4 linked regions of the Ovis aries genome follow. The protein of the gene in region 1 interacts with the protein of each later gene in a biochemical or structural test. Links are inferred from orthologs where the notes say so. Each region holds a gene or a part of one and is shown on either strand. Other genes may lie near its edges.

The links.
Region 2: the proteins of CLTC (region 1) and OCRL form a complex in vitro, tested with the Homo sapiens proteins (2 studies listed by BioGRID and IntAct, with this or other methods). The link is inferred for Ovis aries from reciprocal best matches to the Homo sapiens genes CLTC and OCRL.
Region 3: the proteins of CLTC (region 1) and CLINT1 form a complex in vitro, tested with the Homo sapiens proteins (2 studies listed by BioGRID). The link is inferred for Ovis aries from reciprocal best matches to the Homo sapiens genes CLTC and CLINT1.
Region 4: the proteins of CLTC (region 1) and HIP1 form a complex in vitro, tested with the Homo sapiens proteins (3 studies listed by BioGRID). The link is inferred for Ovis aries from reciprocal best matches to the Homo sapiens genes CLTC and HIP1.

Annotation. Positions count from the first base shown.
Region 1 is NC_056064.1:10,285,354-10,290,411, forward strand, and holds the start of CLTC (clathrin heavy chain 1), read left to right. Parts: upstream 1-1,841; 5' UTR 1,842-2,079; coding exon 2,080-2,121; intron 2,122-5,058. UniProt on the Homo sapiens protein: Clathrin is the major protein of the polyhedral coat of coated pits and vesicles. Two different adapter protein complexes link the clathrin lattice either to the plasma membrane or to the trans-Golgi network.
Region 2 is NC_056080.1:113,487,104-113,492,113, reverse strand, and holds the start of OCRL (inositol polyphosphate 5-phosphatase OCRL), read right to left. Parts: upstream 3,402-5,010; 5' UTR 3,233-3,401; coding exon 3,194-3,232; intron 3,147-3,193; exon of another isoform or gene 2,920-3,146; coding exon 2,849-2,919; intron 1-2,848. UniProt on the Homo sapiens protein: Catalyzes the hydrolysis of the 5-position phosphate of phosphatidylinositol 4,5-bisphosphate (PtdIns(4,5)P2) and phosphatidylinositol-3,4,5-bisphosphate (PtdIns(3,4,5)P3), with the greatest catalytic activity towards PtdIns(4,5)P2.
Region 3 is NC_056058.1:67,029,323-67,034,181, forward strand, and holds the start of CLINT1 (clathrin interactor 1), read right to left. Parts: upstream 3,402-4,859; 5' UTR 3,231-3,401; coding exon 3,190-3,230; intron 1-3,189. UniProt on the Homo sapiens protein: Binds to membranes enriched in phosphatidylinositol 4,5-bisphosphate (PtdIns(4,5)P2). May have a role in transport via clathrin-coated vesicles from the trans-Golgi network to endosomes. Stimulates clathrin assembly.
Region 4 is NC_056077.1:34,460,433-34,465,271, forward strand, and holds the start of HIP1 (huntingtin-interacting protein 1), read right to left. Parts: upstream 3,402-4,839; 5' UTR 3,381-3,401; coding exon 3,261-3,380; intron 2,686-3,260; exon of another isoform or gene 1-2,685. UniProt on the Homo sapiens protein: Plays a role in clathrin-mediated endocytosis and trafficking. Involved in regulating AMPA receptor trafficking in the central nervous system in an NMDA-dependent manner. Regulates presynaptic nerve terminal activity.

The DNA.
Region 1 (5,058 bases):
TTATTAATAAAATTTTGGTTGCGGGTTCATATTATAGCTCATTTGTATCCCGGATTCTGAGACTGGAAATATAAGTTGATTAAAGCTACTGCTTTAACTGTATAATAGAGCAGCAACACTTTTAGATCTTTAATTTAGAATTTGCGTACTTCCAAAAAAGCTTCAAAGCAGCTCGTGTTTAAACTGGTTATTAGGTCATTTCAAATGCTGCAGAATACAGAACATCTTCAAGTATTTAGCTTAACAAAACATAATGAAATTTTGCCAACCATAAATATTCACTCTGATGACATGGTGGTGGGGCTTTTCTTGCAGAATAGTCTATCTGCTATTTTAACTGCCAAAGATTCTTTTCTCATTCTCAGTGTGTGAGATATACTTTGGGGGAAACATTAAAAGCAATTAAAATGATTAAGCAAATTTCTCTAAGTAAAACTGCTTGACACACAAAACTACTGTCTACCTAATAGGGGTTTTATGTTTAACTGAAAAGGGCATTAAAAATAATTGTGTACTTGAATAGTTCCTCAAGATCTTTCTGGAAAAAACATTACATCTCTCTCTTAAAATGAAAGGCACAGAACGAAAATTCTTTTATCCTTTATTGTATTTGTGCGGTTATGAAGCATCATTGTAGCTTATACTTAGCAACAAAGTACTGGGGAGGTTATTAACCGATACTGAATGCCGTAGACACCTTAACGCAGTGACAAGACACGATGCTTCAGCTTTGAGATACTTGTATTCCCAAACACAGCTAACTTACACACTGTTGAGGTGGTCCCACTGAAACACACCGCTAATGGTTAATTTCTTTCTCCAAGAGCGTATCTTACCCACGAGGAGGAAAAACCCAACTTTAACCTAAATCTTTGAGGCTCATTATTTGACATGGCTGAAAAAAAAGTCCTCCTGCTACTATTTCAGTCCTATTCTTGAGCGTATTTAGGACACTCAAAATCTCCAGCAAATTACTGAACTACACTCATAAACACGTCTGCCAAAATGTCCGCAGAAACGCTAAGAAAGGCCATCACAAGGCCTATTTGAGATACCTCATCAGTGGCCTTCACCGCCCTTTGAGTCAATTGTTTAACATCCGAAGAGACTATTAGCTCTGCTAGAATCCAAGCGTCAGCTTCTCCAACCGTCAGAAGGGCAGAGAGGATTTTAAACCCCATCAATGCCCCCTCCTTGGGATGTAACCACCACCCACCCACCACACGGAACCAGGCGGGGGAGGAGGGCAGCAGCCTACTGCCAAGCGCGCTCTGCAGGGAGGCCGTTTCCCTGAGTCACGGAGAGGGCGGGAGGCTGGGCCCATCTGCCCGTGCCACGTCCTCTTCTGAAAGGACTCGATTTAAACAAACAGGGCGCACAGGGGAAGGCAGCAGCACTACTATTCCTCAGGGCGGCCCAACAGCCACCTCATTCCCAGGAGACGCCGCACTTCCCCAGAACGCGCTCTGCATTCCGGCAGCAACCAGCCGACCTTTCCCGACCAGCGTCACGTGCACCCGGAAGTACGTGGGTGGGACCTAAAGCGCCCACGGAAATGACGTTGGTCGCCCCTAGTCGCATGATGTGGCAAAATGCAAAAAAAGGTGGTGGAGGGGGAGGGAAAAGCAGGCGGCTGGGGAAAGTGATGAGGCAAAAAAAGTAGTCCCTTCGATGCCTCTATTTATTGCAGTGTCGCAGCCGTCAGCGACTCCCTCGGCGCACTGCGCCCCGAATTCCTGCGCACCGCGGCACCGCGGCACTCCGTGGAGGGGTACATAAGGCGGAGGGGGGGTGAAGTAACTGGGGCGGAGTTCTGTTGCCGGGATCCCTCCGCAGGGCTCAGCCGTTTCCGGAGTCTGCGCTGCGCCCGGTTCCGCCATTGCGGCTCTCCTGGACCCTGGAGCCTCCGCCCCCGACCTGAGCTCTTTCGTCTGCCTGCCAGTTTCCTGCGTCCCCGGAGACTCTCCTGCTGAGCCCAGCCTCCCCCCTCCCCCCTTCTCCTCCTCTCCTTGGAGAGCCCGGGCAGCCACTGCCCCGCAGCCCCAGTGACAGGAGGAGACCATACCCCCCGACAGCGCCATGGCCCAGATTCTGCCAATTCGTTTTCAGGAGCATCTTCAGGTGCGGCGGGCCGGGGCTCCTGGGGGCTGTGGAGACGCGGGAGGTCAGAAGGAAGAAGCGGGAGTCTGAGCCCAAGCCCCAAAGAGTAGAATCGGAGAGGGGGGGTATCGGTTCCTGAGGTAGCCGGAGGACGGTGCACTGTCTTGGAAAGCTTAAAGGGTTAAATGATTGATGTGGGGCTTGGGTGGCGAGGAAGCGAGTCGAGATCCATAGGAAAGCGAGGCCACGCTGGGGTTTGAAGGCCTCTCTGTCTTCGCTTCCTGGATGGCGAGGACTGCGCATGATAAACCCTTCCACCCCCCGGTTTTATTCAGTTCATTCATTTGGGTTCGTGGAGCCGGGGACGGATGGAGTTGTGCGGTGGTGGTGATCTCCCGCGTTTCTTCCGGAGCAGGAATTCTCTTCTCCCAAGCCAGCGCAGGGCTGTCACTTCTCATTGCTCTCTCTCTCTCCCCTTTTCCCCCATCGTGCCTGCACCTAGGAGTTGTGGCGCGGGTGGGTTGGGGAGGAGCAAGCTTTTTTTCTTCCTCCCTCTGCGCCTCTCAGAGGGAAGGGCACCTTCCCCGGGGGTGGGGGGGACGACAGCAGCTCCTCTCTTGCCTTGCCCAAGGCAGTAGGAACACGGAAGGTCACTGAAGGAAAAGGAGGAGGATAGAAAGAGGGAATGTATTTATTAGTGTGGTGTCAATTTCAGAGTGCGTGGGGGGTTTGAGGGACTCGCCTTTTTTCACTCTCTCGATTTCTCTGCGAATGGTGCAGCTTTTATCCCCTCTTTGGTTCTAGAAAAGAGAAAGAGTTGTCCAGAGGTTATCGTGGGGTCTGCTGGAGGTTAGCAGGTAGTTGGCTTGGCGTGAGTACCTCCCTCAGGATTGCAAGGAATTGAATGAACCCTGGGGATATAGCACACTTGCCCTGAGATATGCGGGGTTATTTGGTCTGTAATTGGCTGCCTTTGGTAGGTTCTAGAGTTCTTCTCCATGGTGCAGTATCCTGTAGGCAACAGACTGTCTTATCTGGCAGCTTGCCCACGGCGGGCCCAGGCAGGTGATCTTTGGAGGACTTGACTGAATTAAGTCGTCTTTGGAGCTTCTGATTTTCCTGGTTCACCAATCCTTGTTTTACTTTGGCTGAAATAAATTTATTCATAAAGTATGTTTTCTTTCCAGTTACCTCCTTAAAGAGTCCTGCCTCCCCTCAATTATTTGAAGGACTAATTTGTAAATGATAAGAGATGCCAGTGGTTTGACATGACACTAATACTAGTGACCTGCTAGACACTTTATCATGGAATGCTGTTTACTTTCTGCCATTGTTATAACGTATATAAAGCCTTCTTGTATTAGGTTTAATATTCTGCCTGTCAACATAATTTCGTTTTTTACAGATTATCACCTTTGCTTGCATCAGCAAGACTTCTTTTCCTTTGTCTTGAAATATGAGTAATCTTTATTCAAAAAAATAAGTAATGTACTTTTATTCAGTCATTTTTGGTTTTCAGATAACTCATCCGATGCAATAGAACACTATTTGACAAAAGGTCAAAAAACGTTAAGTGATAGAATGGACCCAGAAATTATTGTTCATGCTCCATCCAAATTTTTATTGCTGTGGTTACTATTGTTGAATGTGAAGGGTTAGGAAAATGTTTTTGAGTATGAAGGGAAAACACACCCTTGTCCTCACACTGAACTGCTTCTGGAATATAATCTTCCTGCAGACAAAAGTATGTAAAATCATACACAAGAAAAGCAGTTAGCAATTGCTGTTTGCTTTACAAAACAGAGGCATATCCCACTAGTAAATCTTGTTTCTTGACTAGTGGTAGTTTGAGCAATAGTTTTTTCATTTCTGTTAATGAAGAAACAAGATTATTGAATAATTCCAAAGGTTGGACTCCAACCTTGTCACTAACTGAAGACACATTTAGTATGGGTCTTCTTTCTAAGTGGTTCATAGTTTTTGCAAATACTTGAGTGAGGCTGTCTTCTCAAATACTTTGAAGAGTTGAGTGTAAAGTAGCTATGCAAATATACTGAAAGAATTCAGTCTTTCAGTTTTTGGAGTAGTATATATATCCCATGCCTAAGCTTAAGCTTGCTATAGTGACTGTATACTAAGGATTATTTTAATTGGCATCTTAGGTCTTTGACCTCTGAGCCCCTGCCAGTTTGCTAAGTAGCAAAAACTTTATGAAACACTTAAGATAATAATTGGGAAGAATTGAGGAACTTGAGTGTAGCATTAACCTGTGAAAGCTTCAAAGGGTGAACTTGAAATGAATTTATTTTTATACCATCTAACTGCTTGGACCAACCAAAGGGTCTGTCATCAAGGGTTTAGAACTACATTAGATGAACATTAATATTTTAAGTTACAAAGTTTTTTTTTCTTTTTTAAGATGTTTAGGCCGATAGCAGTGAACAGATGAGTGCCTAGTTGAACAAGATTTTGTTAGAATTGCAGGTTCTGAAAAAAATCCTAGGCTGTGTATAGAGTTGCCTGCAGTTATCATTTCTTAGCTCATTTAGTATCTTTATGCTGATTGACACATTCTGCTGTGTTCCCAGGTTTTTGGGGTCTGAATTAAAAATCTCCCAACCCTGTTCTTTTCCCTTTGATCCATAAATACAGGCATGGAATGTGGGAGTTCTTGATAATGGTTATTTTGATTTGCAAAGAGTAAGCAGTGCTGAGTTACTGGGATATGTTATATGCTTAACTCTACTACCTGGGAGAGTCATAGTGCCTAGAATTATGTGGCAGTCTACTCTAGGAAAAGCTTCCACGTTTAAGATGCATCAGGTTTTTCAGTATTTTCCTAATGGTCAATTTACTCAGCTTTTAAAGGGGTGTGGCTAACCCTAGGGAATGTGCTTTCACTCTGTTTAGGAAATAACTTAAGACATAAAAGGCTGTGTGTGTGTGTGTGTGTGTGTG
Region 2 (5,010 bases), on another chromosome or scaffold:
AAGACTGACAAAATAATGGTCAACGAGAAAGAGCTTACTTTAAGGAAAATGAACACAAACCAATGTAATCCCCAAGTAAAGTAATACAGAAATGATGTTGAACATTAACAGTAAAGTTTCAACTGGATTGTCTTGTTAAAAACCAACACAAAACAGACAACACGGATGGACCTTGAGAGCATTATGCTAAATGAAAGAAGGCAGACAGAGAAAGACAAATACCATATGATCTCATGTGTGAAACAGAAAAACAAAACCCCCAAATACTGAACTCAAAGACCCAGAGAACAGATTGGCAGCTGTTAGAGGCAGAGCATGGGGGTGGGTGGGTGAAATGGGTGAAGGGGGTCAACAGGTACAAATGTCCAGCTAGAAAATAGTTAAGTCCTGAGGCTGTAATGTATAGCATGATGACTATAGTTTATAATAATGTACTGTATATTTGAAAGTTGTTAAGAGAATATGTCTTAAAAGTTCTCATCAAAAGAAAAAAAATGTTGAAGGAACTTCTCTGGCAATTCAGTGGTTAAGACTCTGTGCCTCCAATACAGGGGGTACAGGTTCAATCCCTAGCCCCGGAAACAAGATCCCACATACCACGTGGCACAAAGACAGAAAAAGACTTATGGTAGTGATCATTTTAAAGTGTATACAAATATCAAGTCATTATATTGTACACCTGAAACTAACATAATGTTATAAATATCAATTTAAAAAAGAAATGAGACCCACCCCCCCCAAAATCAAAAAACATAAGCTGGGAATTCAAGTCAAGTCCACAAATATTTCCCTAGGAAATACTCTGATTTGTTTAAGGAAGGTTAAAGATGAAACAACAGGTTGCATCATAATCTATTTACCTTGAAAAAAAAGAATGTCAGTGTTTGATTCCTTGTGTGCAATAAAGTCATTTTCAATTGTAATTTTAGTCTCTCAAGTAAATTTCTCCTATGGTTAACAGCAGGAACTACAAAACTAAAGAAGGCACCCAAAAGACACGGATTATACAGATGATTTGACAGTATGAGGTGTCTCCAATAATGTAATGTCTCCAATAAATGATTTCAAAAGAAACTTCTCAGATATGATGTAATTCTGAGATGTTATATGGCTTTAAATCTCAGCTATGTTACTTCCTGACTGTGAACAAATGACTTAACCTCTCTAAACCTCCATTTCTACACCAAGGAAAAGGGGATGACGATGATAATATTACAATTTCACAGCAATCCTCACATGAGAGTTAAATGAACTAATTCATGCAAGTGCTTAGAAGAGTACCTGACACACATCAAGCCATTGAGTGTGACTTGTGTTATACTCATAACTTATACAGAACTGTAACATAGAATTTGATTTCTCTAGGGGGGAAGATAAAAATAATCAGGAGAGCTACCACTGCAAGTTTAAAAGTGCTTCCAGTATATGAGACCAGATAGAAAGAGGTGTTTCTCTCAAGGCCAGCCGCTTGTTCCCTTATCAGCCGAACAGTTCCAAACCTACAGAACCAAGGGACCAGATCCTGGGATGTGGTCATCTCAACACTGTAGCTATTTTTATTTAATCCTCATAATTTAAAGAAGAGGAAACCGAGGCACAAAAAATTTAATGGTTTGCCCAAGGTTCACATCTTCCCATTCTATTCTTGCCTTTGGAAGTGGTACTGGTGTTCCACTTTTCAATTCACTTTTCTGTTGAATTTACTTTCATTAAACTGGTCTTCCAGTTTGATGAAATCTGGGAAAAATAAAATGAACTTATCACATCAACAGAACTGACCAACCAGAATCTAGGGAAGAGCTACTTCCATAGAACCAGCTGACATCCAGTTTGAATGGCACCAAGAGTTTCAGAATAGGGCAGGCTAGGCTAATGGAAATTTCTTCTCTGTAAACTAGACAGCATAGACAAAGATTGAATCTGGACAATCTAAAGGCAGGGGCTGAAAAAAGTTGTTTTTAAGCAGAATTCATTGTTGGGGGATGGCAGGATTTAAGTGATTGACAATTCTTCACTGATGTCAAGAAACCAGCCAACAACTAGGGGCGGTGGCTGGGGCATAAAGGGATAGGGACCTACCTATATAGGATAGTCATCAGAGATACTTTAGATGAAACATTAGTGGCAAGGAAATGAGATCAGCAGCTATAGTGATGGCTTATCAAAATCTTTTGATCAACCAGTCAACAGTCTTTACTGAGCTCTTATGTCCAAGGCAGAGTGGGAGGTAACACACCCTGATGAAAGGCCAAAAGTCGTTTACATTTCTATACATGTCATTACTTTTTCTAGCAGTCAAGTCAGTAAGTGAAACAGTTACTGGCCTACACAAAATCATGACTGAATTAATGAATATGCCTTCAAGCAAATGGAATAAAGGGGTGGGAGACTGGAGGAACCAGTTGAATGAGATTAAGAGAAGGTTAACAATGAAGCGTTTTTACAACACTTTTACTTCTTTGTAAACCACTTTCATATTTATTATTCTCTCAGTTAACTCCAAAGGCTATAAGGTAAGGCAGTTCATGTTTTTATTAAACTGATGAGGACACTAAGACCCAGAAAGCTTTATTGACCAGCCCAGGATTACACAACCCATGTCAGTTGCAGGGGCAGGAACTAAGAACCCAGGCTTCCTGCTTGCCTGCCCATTGAGCCCTTTCCTGAGCCACAGGCCAGAGCAAACTTGGGGAGAAAGCCAGGTGGTTAGAGCACTGGCACTTCACACCCGGGCCGAACCTGTTGCCCACGTGGCCTCAGTGGGAGGACGGTGCGTGGCTTGTCGCGGTTTGGGGTTGGGAGGTAATGGCAGGCTCCCCTCCTTTGTGGGTATCAGGTGGTTACTTACTCATACTGCCCGTTCCTCTGGACTAGGGTCAGCGCGCAGGGCTCCCGGAGAGGACCCTTCATCTCCATACCCTCGATAGTATGCGGGCGCTAGTCAAGGGTCTTCTCTACAAGCGCGGCCCAGGAGGGGACCCGAGGTGCAGGGTGGCGAGAGGCTCCTGCCCCTCTGCCCACCCTTCCTCCCCAGCGTCCGAGGCAGCGCCTCCCGCGCTGGCCCCCCTCTCCCGCTCGGCTCGGCTTTGGGGCCCGATTGCCCCCTAGCAGCCCCTCCGCCGCGATCCGCAGTCCCGCGGACCCCCACCCCCGCCCTGCGCGGCCTCCCCTCCCCCTTCTCTCAGGCGGATACAGTAAGGGGCTGGGCTCCAATCGGGAGCGGCGGCTCCATCCCGGCGGCTTCCAGGCTCGGCGGGGCTGCGGACTGCGGGCTGATCCGACGATACTGCCTCCCGCGTCCTCACACCCCTCAGCCTCGGCTGCGCGTCCTTAGAGAAACAGCTCCGTGCTGGGCGCGGGCAGCCCGCAGCCTGGAGCCCAGAGCCGGGAGCCGGGAGCCTGACCCGAGAGAGAGCGGCGCCTCCCACCCCCGCCAGTTTTCCAGGCCGCCGCAGATTCCGCCCCCTGCGGCCAAGCTGCGGAACTGCAGGCCAACCCGACGGACTGGGGGCGTCTCCCCCACGTCCAGCAAGGGATAAGTTTTCAAGGCTGTCTGTGACGCCAGACTTGTTTGGGGGACTTTGAAGGTTGCCATAGAAACAAAGTACAGTCATACCCATCAAATAACTCAAAGGTGTTGGGGCCACTAGGACCCACATCCTCCATTCAAAATATCCTTATTATGGTTAACAGAATGGACCGTGCTGGACCTACCGCTCAGATGTCCTCCCACCTCACTCCATCCTTCCACCCCCTAAATCGGAAAAATCCCCAGAGATCATACCTTTGCTTTCTCTGTCCCCCTTTAAGCTCACTTGTAAGCAGGCAAACACCAAATGTATTATCCCTGGCCCACATCCCTTGCCTAATATAACTCATTGTTGGCAAAACATTGGATGACAAAAACCCACGGTTATTTCACACAGCGATGCAGGTTTGACATTTCAAAGCCATGTGCTTGCTTGTGTCTCCTGCATTGCCAGGCGGCGCTAGTGGTAACGAACCCACCTGCCAAAGCAGAAGATGGAAGAGACGCAGGTTTGATCCCTGGGTCGAGAAAATCCCCTGGAGAAGCGCATGGCAACCCACTCCAGCATTCTTGCCTGGAGAATCCCGATGGACAGAGAAGCCTGGCAAGCTAGAGTCCATAGGGTTGCAGAGAGTCAGACACGACTGAAGCGACTTAGCATGCATGCACCTGGGAAGCCCCATATGCTTGCTCTCCTGATTGCTCCGTATCCAATCAGCCAACAAATCTTATTAATATGTTCTTTGGAATTACTTTTAGATTCTTTGTTTTCTTGCCATTCACACTGCCATCACTGGAGTGTAAGCCCTTGTGATATCTCATTTGACCATTTTACTCTGTTGACAGTCATAAGAATATTCTTCCTAGAGTAATGTTTCAGTTGTGTTATTCTTTTGTTCAGTGGTCTTGTATGGATGTGAGAGTTGGACTGTGAAGAAAGGTGAGCACCAAAGAATTGATGCTTCTGAACTGTGGTGTTGGAGAAGACTCTTGAGAGTCCCTTGGACTGCAAGGAGATCCAACCAGTCCATTCTAAAGGAGATCAGTCCTGGGTGTTCATTGGAAGGACTGATGCTAAAGCTCAAACTCCAATACTTTGGCCACCTCATGCGAAGAGTTGACTCATTGGAAAAGACCCTGATGCTGGGAGGGATTAGTGGCAGGAGGAGAAGGGGACGACAGAGGATGAGATGGCTGGATGGCATCACTGACTCTATGGACATGAGTTTGAGTAAACTCTGGGAGTTGGTGATGGACAGGGAGGCCTGGCGTGCTGTGATTCATGGGGTCACAAAGAGTCGGACACGACTGAGCAACTGAACTGAACTGAACTGATTCTTTTGTTCAAGACTCTATGCTGCTGCTGCTTCTGCTGCAAAGTTGCTTCAGTCGTGTCTGACTGTGTGACCCCATAGACGGAAGCCCACCAGGCTCCCCTGTCCCTGGGATTCTCGAGGTAAGAACACTGGAGTAGGTTGCCA
Region 3 (4,859 bases), on another chromosome or scaffold:
ATCATTTTAAAGATAAGGAATCCAAGCTCTGGAGAGTCATATGATTCTGCCTCAAATTATACATATGGCTAATTTAAAAAGCAGTATCAGAATGTGAACCTAGGTCTCCCCAAACCTCTGCTGCTGCGGCTAAGTAACTTTAGTCGTGTCCGACTCTGTGCGGCTCCATAGACGGCAGCCCACAAGGCTCTCCCGTCCCTGGGATTCTCCAGGCAAGAACACTGGAGTGGGTTGCCATTCCCTTCTCCAATGCATGAAAGAGAAAAGTGATTCAGTGCTATATCATATAAAGCCTCATTTCTATTCAACACAGCTCTCAGAGCAGTCCTTAATCACTTTATTATTTCCTCTTTTGCAAGTTTCCTCATCACCTTATTCCCTTGATAATCTGAATAGCTGTTCTATGGATCTGTTTCACTTCCATTATGGCAATTAAAGGTGAACAGTCTAAATGGGCATAATGCCACAGGTACTGGTTTTGTAAAATGTTTGTATTTGGGGAGGAAGAACTATTTCTTTTCTGCCAGTGAAAGATGAAAATTAAGTACTCATCAGTAAAATAACCTCATGTTCTAATCCTAATATGTGTCAGACACCACTGAAAGTTTTTTAAAAAGTCCTTGGTGGCAACATTTTACATGTTCTTGAGTAACTTGGTTTAAATTTCCATTCTCTTTAAAAATTTTTAAGATACTTATTTGGCTGCACCTAGTCTTAGTTGCTTGCCTAGAGAGTCCTGTGGACAGAGGAGCCTGGTGGACTACTGGCCATAGGTCTGCAGAGAGTTAGACATGGCTGGAGAGACTTAGCATGCATGCATGAACTGGAGGAAGAAATGGCAACCCACTCCAATATTCTTGCTTGGAGAATCCCAGGGACAGAGGAGCCTGGTGGGCTGCTGTCTATGGGGTCGCACAGAGTTGAACATGACTGAAGCAACTTAGCAGCAGCAGTCTTAGTTGCTGCATGTGGGATCTAGTTCTCTGACCAGGGATGGAACCCGGCCGGGCCCCCTGCACTGAAGCCCCAAGTCTTTGTCACTGGACCACCAGGGAAATCCCCAGGTTTCCATTCTTATTTGGGTAGTAAAAAGGAAGACTGAAGTCATTTTTCAACAGCAGCTCTTCCATTAGATTGACTTGATAGCTATTTATGTGACAAATTTAATCTGAGGTACTTGAAACTTAGTAACAAAGGTGAGAACAACAACATGAAAAGAACAAGAGCAAGAATATTGCCTTGATTTGTCTCCTGAAAAAGTGTACCTTGTCTTCAAATTTTTGAGTACCACAAATTTAGTCCCCTAAGGTAAGAAGGTGCTTTTTTAGTGATTTTTCTTCCACCGACCTCTGGTTAAGAAATAGTTTTGTAGAGATTTTTGGATCTTCAAAGACTGTTTAAGCTAGTAGCCTTTACACCAATAAACTTGGATTAAAAAAACAAACATGATTTTATTTTTACCTTTGGAAAGCAAAGGATATATAAATAGCAAAACAAAACCAAAATAAAGGACCAAGGACTTAATGGTCAAATAAATGGTTGACAAAGCAAAACCACCAAATCACTTTTCAAACATGGATCTTTTCTCTTAACGAATTTTAATATTACTCTTGATGTAGAACATGAGCTATAATTATCAAAAGCATACTGATCTAAACTTACTGCGTTATGGCCTTTATACGCTATTTAAGTTCTTCGCCCTTAATTCTCACAACATTCTAAGGTAAATATTCATCACTATTTTCATATTTCACCTGAGAAAACTGGGACACTTCAAAGTTAAGTAATTTGCCAAGGTTACAGAGCTTGAATCCAGCTCTGCAGGTTCAGAAATCTGTGCTCCTCAGGCATTCTACTGCGTTCTCGATAGCACAGAAAACTTGAAAATACAGTCGAACTGTAAATTCTATGTGATGCATTATCCAAGCCACTGAATTTTTTCTTACTGAAGTATAGTTGATTTATTAGTTTCAGGTGTACAAACAGTAATTTGATAATTTAACAGATTATACTGTTTATAGTTATTATAAAATGGTGGCTGTATTTCCTATGCTGTACATTATATGCTTGGATCTAATTTATTTTATACATAGCAGTTTACAATAAGTTATTTTTTGGGAGGTTCAAGAAAGCCAAGAATTTGCCATCCTCACTTCCTGATTTTAGATCGGATGAGCGGCACAAATGAACTGTTTTTGCCATTACTTATTATATCATCACTAAAACCTGAAAAGAAGGGGACTAGTTAAATTCTTAAACTTTACTTCCTGCTGTTCTAGAAGACCTTACTTAACCACTGTTTTAATCTATATGATACACTCAATATAAATGTTAAGGTTTCCCTAGGGTAGTAACATACTAAAGTGATCACTTAAATCTTAAAGAGTATCAGCTATGCATTAGTCATTTTACCTGTCTGTACTTACAAGCAGATCAACAGGATATAAACCTTGGTTGTTTCCTTTTTAGGAGCCATTTCTTGTTAATTCAATGATTAGTTAACTAAACCAAATGGAACAAATGGCCCTCCAAAAATGAAATGTAGTGGAAAAAGAAATAGAGGAAAGGAATCACAGTAAGTTACACGGTGATCCACTCTCACTAGTGTTAGAAAAGCAAAGGAGAGAGTCTTGAGTAACTTCAGTCTGACCACAATGACCACTTGTTACACCTACCACCCACTACAATACCTCAGGCTCATTAGGAATTAAAAGCAGCTCAGCAAGGTAAAGGACACATCCCAACCAGGCCTAAGGTCTCTACAACCGCTGAGGAGCACAGGGAGCCACTGAAGTAAGTTTCCCCACCCTCAAGCTTTCACTGCTGCCCAGGAGCCAAAGACCAAAAGCCAGGGGCCAAGACAGTTCTCCGGCCAGGGCAGTGACCCAGCTTGAGACAACCCTCCCCCGCCCCTGATCAAAGTGTCCGCGCCTAGAGGGGTGGGGTAGCTGCAGGGTGAGGAAGGCCTGGATAGGAGATAAGGGGACTAAGATGTTTCGACAGAGAAAAGGTCCCTTCGGTTGGCGGATCGGGACGCGGGCCCGGGTCGAGAAGAGTCGCCCGCCGCCATGATAGGGCCGGCCCATCTGGGGGGCGTGACGCGGCCGGCCCGGAGCGCAGAACCGGCTCCCCTTTCCCCCCGCCCCTCCCCCGCGTGGGCCTCGGCCACAACTGCCCCCCGATACTCACGCTTTGTCCACCAGCTCCCGCACCTTCCACATGTTCAACATCTTGCCCGAGCGGGCCGGGCCTCCACCTCCCTCTCCTGTACGCCACGGACCCCGGAACACTTCCGCGCCGGGGCAGATCCAGGCCGGGGTCGCTGCCGCTGTCGCCGCCGCCGCCCGCCGCCTCAAACTCCCCCAGTCAGCTCCTTCTCTTGCCACAGCCGCGGCGCCGCCAGTGACACGTCGAGACGCGGGGGCAGAGGCGCTGCGTGGGGCGGAAGTGCCTGACTTTCCGCCCGCTGCGCACGGGGCACGCTGGGACTTGTAGTTCTCTGTGCGCCAAATTAGGCTGAGAGTTTCAGAGGAAAGCTAAAGTTAGGATTCTTCGGTAAAAGAGCTCTCTGGATTCTCCGCACCCCTCCGCAGTAGTCATGTATGGATGTATGGATGTGAAAGTTGGGCCGTAAAGAAAGCTGAGAGCCGAAGAATTGATCCTTTTGAACTGTGGTGTTGGAGAAGACGCTTTAGAGTCCCTTGGACTGCAAGGAGATCCAACCAGTCAGTCCTAAAGGAAATCGGTCCTGAATGTTCATTGGAGGGCCTGATGCTGAAGCTGAAACTCCAATACTTTGGCCACCTGATGCGAAGAAATGACTCATTAGAAAAAACCCTGATGCTGGGAAAGATTGAAGGCGGGAGGAGGAGGGGAATTCAGAGGATGAGACGGTTGAGTGGCGTCACCAACTCGATAGACATGAGTTTGAGCAAGCTCCAGGAGATGGTGAAGGACAGGGAAGACTGGTGTGCTGTAGTCGATGGGGTCGCAAAGAGTCGGACACGACTGAGTGGCTGAGCAACAACAATGGACAGAGGAACCTGCCAGGCTGCAGTCCATAGGATCTCAGAGTCGGAAACGACTGAAGTGACAGCATGCACGCGATGACTATAAGAAGTATAATTGGCATATGTACTCCTCATTGACAGAAGTAATTCTGTAGTTGGTTCCAAATGCCCAAATATACTTCCTTCCCTGGGCTTTAGTTTCCATCCTTGTACATTGAAAAGGCTGTGTCTTAAAACCTATTCCATTCTAATTCTACCATACAGTGCTCTTATATTTAGACAGATACTTAATATCCTTGTTAGATACTTACTATAAAGTTCAGAACCTCAGTTCACACTCCATGGGAAATTGTAGAAAAACAACACCAGGACATTAGGACGGGCCCAAGAAGCTGACACGTGTATATTCTCAAAGTGTAGATATACATCTATGCTGCATTCATTGTTTTATTGCAATGATTATTGTCACTTTATTTTTCACTTACTTATTTTTTGACAATGTTCATGTTAGAGCCACAAACACTCTTAAAGTTCATTTGGTCAAACTGCTTAAATTTTACAGTTCTTTACATTCTACAAATTTTTATTGAATATTTTCTATGTGCCAGGAGTGTGGAGAAGGAGAAGGGGATGACAGAGGATGAGATGGTTGGATGGTATCACTGACTCAGTGGACATGAGTTTGAGTAAACGCTGAGAGCTGGTGGTGGACAGGGAGGCCTGGTGTGCTGCAGTCCGTGGGGTCACAAAGAGTTGGACACAACTGAGTGACTGAACCGAACTGAACTGAAGGAGTGGAGAACCCAGCTGGGAAGAAGACAGGCAAGGCCTCAGCTCTCTTGGATCTTA
Region 4 (4,839 bases), on another chromosome or scaffold:
AACATCAAGTAATCACAGATGTGCCCTGTGGCCCAGAGCTGAGTTCCCCATCCACGCCAGGCATCCCGGCCGGGGCCAACTCGTCACTTTGGACCCAAGACTACAGTCACTTCACCACTAACACCAGCCCTAGGCACATGAGGACAGAAGTTCGAGTGAGACACCGTCCCACCCTCAGGAAGTTCACGGGGTGCTGGGGGTCACAGGGAAGCGGGGACAGGACAGGGAGCAGGTGCAAGGCGTTTGGAGGTGGGAGGAGCCTATTCTGCTCTGTCCACCTTAACTGATGAATCTCATTTACACCCGCCTCCAGACCATACCTTTTCTCCTGGAATGCCCCATCCCTCCTCTCTCCCCAGCAAGTGCTGGCTCAGGCTGAAGGATGGGGTTCAGACCTCGCAGGGCTCCCACCCGCTTCGCACCCTAACAGCCTGGACTTTAAGCAATCACTCCTGGTAATCACTGCATTAACCAGGAACACTTCTGTCCCTCTACTGAACAGTTCATCACAGCCTGCCCCAGTACTTGGCCTTTTTTCTGGTCCCCTCTCCTCCTCAGATTATAGCAATCATCATCGCCACAGTGCTCTCCAGTTTACAAAATGCCTCCAGGTATATTATTTAATCTAGTCTCCCATAATCAACCTGTGAGGTAAGTAGTATCCTTATTTTGCAATAAGGAACCCAAGGCTAAGAAAAGCTGGAAAACTTGCCTGGGACCACAGCCCCTCCATGTGCCTGGCTATCAAATTTCAGCCTCTTCCAGTTCCCATACCAGTGCTCGGCCCAGTACTCAGAAGCCACACAGAGCTGTGGTTAAAGGTTGGGATCACAACATGCTGTCTGACCTTGGGCAAGTTACTTAACTTCTCTGTGCCTCAATTTCCTCCAGATAAAATGTGGTTGATACTCACCTCATAGGTCCTTGTCAATATCACCTCACAGTACTTTACTGAAATTAAAGAAGGTGATACAATAAAGTACTCAGAAAAGTGCCAAACATAATTAGTTACAATCATCCGCCCACCTTCACTGATTCCATGGTCTCTTAACTCATTAAATTTTTTTTATAACTCATGTTCATATGGCTCAGACTGTAAAGAATCTGCCTGCAATGAGGGAGACCAGGGTTCGATCCCTGGGTTGGGAAGATCTCCTGGAGAAGTGAATGGCTGCCCATTCCAGTATTCTTGCCTGGAGAATTCTGTGGACAGAGGAGCCTGGCAGGCTGCAGTCCATGGGGTAGCAAAGATTCAGACACGACTGAGTGACTAACACACACATACATTGGGTAAGTAGTCATTAAACAATACACATTTTTGCAGATTGACTAAGGTGAGGTTTTTAGAATTGTTCTCTTTCCTTTTCTTCACTCTCTTATTGCCCTAATAGTTTCAACAACACAGAAACTCTTTTCCTGATTCATTCTACCTCCCTTACACACACACACACACACACACACACACACACACACACACACACACACGCCACTAGCTCAAATCTGGCCAATTATCAGTGCCCCACAGAATGTAAGATACTGCCTAACACTGACCTAGACTCTCCTTGTTGGGACGTCCCTGGATAGCTAGAGAAACTTTCACAAACCTAATTTCCATCACTATAATGGGTCAAACTCTTATGTGTATTTCTCTATTGCTCCAGTTTTTACTGGAGACTCTAAAAGGAATGAATTACCATTTATTTTCCTTGTCCATTACAAGAAAGATTTACACTGTTTCCTGGAGCAAGAAGCCTTGTGTGCCCAGGCAGCTAGACGAGGGCATAATGCCCATAGCAGACAAGCATCTTCCTTCCTTTCTGGGGTCCAATCCACAGAATTAGAAAATAAAGCTTAAACCCAGCCAGACCCTGGGAGAGAGAAGTAAAGAGCCTTCTCTCCCATCCCGTGTGGGGTAGAATGATGACCTAGGGAGGGGACACTGCCTACTTTACACCACCTGGACACACCTGTGAAGGGCCAGAGGTGCCTGGAAAAAGAAGAGGAATTAGTCTCCTGGGTTTTCATGAAAAGTTTCCTTCTTTGCAAGATTCCCTACATGGAACACTCGATCAGGACCTCACAATCTTTATCTAAAACCCCACTGCCCTTCCTTCACATGGTACTAAGTTTGGGGAGGGCGGTGGGGAGCAGAACAGAACGGGAGAACCAGCTTCTGGCAGCGGAAGCCCCCTGGCTCTTCAAAGGTTTCACTCCGAGAGCAAGAGTGAGCGCGAGTGAGGAACAAACTTGCCCATACAACTTCAGCAGTGGGATTAAAAGAAGTGCTGTGCCCTTCGAAATGGATTTTGCATACAAACCAGCCGATGAACACCATAAACATGTCAGCTTTATTCAGTCCAATCAATACACCAGGCATTAAAACTCTGAGGTAAAAATGGATTGTGGCTTTTTGTTGATGACAGTGAGGAATTTTGGCCCCTAGCCCTGCTCAGGCTGGACAATTTAGGGCAGGCTGCCTATTAGCTGTCAGGCACATTTAGGGGGATGAAATCAAAACCCCGATTCAGGGTTCTGGGCACCCCAGAACAACCCAACTTGACCCGAATCGGGGCCACTGGTCCAGGACCCTCAATATCTGTCCTTGGGCCGGCCCCCTCCTCCAGCCCCCGGTCATCTTCCAAACTCGGCCACACACCGCATTTCCTACATTCCTTCCTCCGGGCTCAGACCCCTTCAGTCCGGTCCTCCGAGGCCGACAGCTGGGGGCTGGCGTGAGCCAAGCTAGAGGCACAAGGAAGGGGATGCTAGGGACGGGGGGAATGTCAACGCAGTCCTGAAGTGATCGAGCGGAGAGTACAGGGCGCCCCAGCCCTCACATTCCCGACTCAGCGCCCCACTCTCTGCAGCCACACTTGCGACCCCCAGCGCCACCCCCCCCCCGCCAGGGACCTTCCCCAGCTAGGGGCACCCCTTCCATTCGGCCCCCTTTTCGCGTTCCTTCCCCTCTCACCGCCCCCGTGACCCCTGCCCTGCCCCGCCGGGACCGGCTCCAGTCGGTCGCACCGCGCGGACCGTGCCAGCTGCTCAGAGCCGCCCTGCCCTCTCCCCCAGGCCAGCCGGGATGGCCCCGGGGTCCCCGACCTTCCCAGACCGCCTTGACCACCGCACCAGATGCCCCCTTGCTCAGTCCTTCCCTGGGCCTGCAAGATCCCTACTCCCTTCGAGTCCCCTCCAGGACACTGCGGGATGCCCCAGCCGTGCACGACCGGGGGTGTCCCCCACCCCGCCCCGGTCCTCACCTGAGTCCGCTCAAAGCTCTCCCGCTCCGCAGCCTCCATCCCCGCGCCAACCCCACGCCGGCTCAGCACCTTCGGCAGGGGGTTGGGGACCTGCTTCATGGAGCTGGCCATCCGGTCCATGTCGCCGCGCGGAGCCGAGTCAGGGGCCCTCAGCCGCCCCGGGATCCCCACGGCGCCGCCCGCCCCTCCCTATCCACTGGGATCCGGCGCTAACGGGAAGGCGCCCGCCTCCCATTGGCTGAGAGCGCTGCTACTCTGCCGAGGCCCCGCCCCAGCCCAGAGGCTTCCCCGTCCGCCCCCGCCCTCTCCAGAGCCCCCGCCCCGGCCCTACCCTGCAGGGCGCTCCGGACCGTCAGGCGCGCCGGGACGGGCCCGGAGGCCTGTCGGTCACCGGCCTCCACCGCCCCTGGCGGGGGCGGGCCTGACCTGCCCTAGCCCGCCCCTTCCCCGACGCCCAGAGCGCGGCTCTCCCAGCCGCTGGCTGCACCCGCGAGCTCCCAGCGAGCCGCACTCTCCCAGTCCCCCCACCCCACCCCGGGCGCCGCGAGGTCCCGGCTTGGTTGGTGGGCGGGGGTCAAGCTGGCGGTGAGTTGGGCCTGCCGCAGGGAATCCGGGCCCGCGTGGGACTGGCCTGTTAACTCTTTTCGGGCCGGAGACAAGAGCGCGCGCGATGGACCAGCTCGGCGGCCCCTGTCCCAGGATGCGCTTGCCCTGAGGCCGGGCCTCCGCAGGTTGGTTCAGCGGGTCGCAGACCTGGCCGGCGTGGGTAGCGGCTCCCACCGCCTTCTCCCTCGTCCTGCCCCTGCCCCGAATCCCTGCCCATCCCTTTTGTAATGTTCGCAGACCAGGGAGCGCTGGGCTGGGTCAGTGGAAACTTCTCGACACCTTTACAAACCTCTCACCCTCTGGATCTGGTCAGGATGTATTCGTTGGTAGAAACCCATGTGGACATTTTAATATTTATCCCCGGCTCTGGGACACCCCTCCCATCCTGCTCCGTCGTCAGCCAAGGTACTGACGACAGGCGTAGGGGGGATGGAAGGGGGTGGAAGTAAGATCCTTAGCCGAGATGCTGAAGAAAGTTAAAAGTTTTCTGTTCAAATGCCAATTTTGATGTTTTAAAAATAAATGCTTTTTGCAACTCAAAGTAAAGAAAGGCGTTACTTTTTTTTTTTTTTTTTTGACTAAGAGCTTTTGATAAAAATTCACACATTCAATAGAGAAGCAGAAGAGGGGGTGGGCCTATGTAGGCACTGGGGAGCCTCTGACGGCTTTGCCAGCTGGCATCGTGTGGATGGGATTCTGGGGGCGACGGGAAGGAAGGGAACCAATGGGGAGACTCCGGCAGTAGGTGAGAGCCCACGAGGGCCTCCACTAGCAAGCCAGGAGAGAGTTCAATCCTGTGGGAGGTTCTGTGAATCAGTCAGTTCAGTCGCTCAGTCGGGTGGGACTCTTTGAAACTCCATGGACTGCAGCAGGCAAGGCGTCCCTGTCTGTCACCAACTCCCAGAGCTTAGTCAAACTCAGGTCCATCGAGTTGGTGATGCCATCCAACCATCTCATTCTCTGTCGTCCCCTT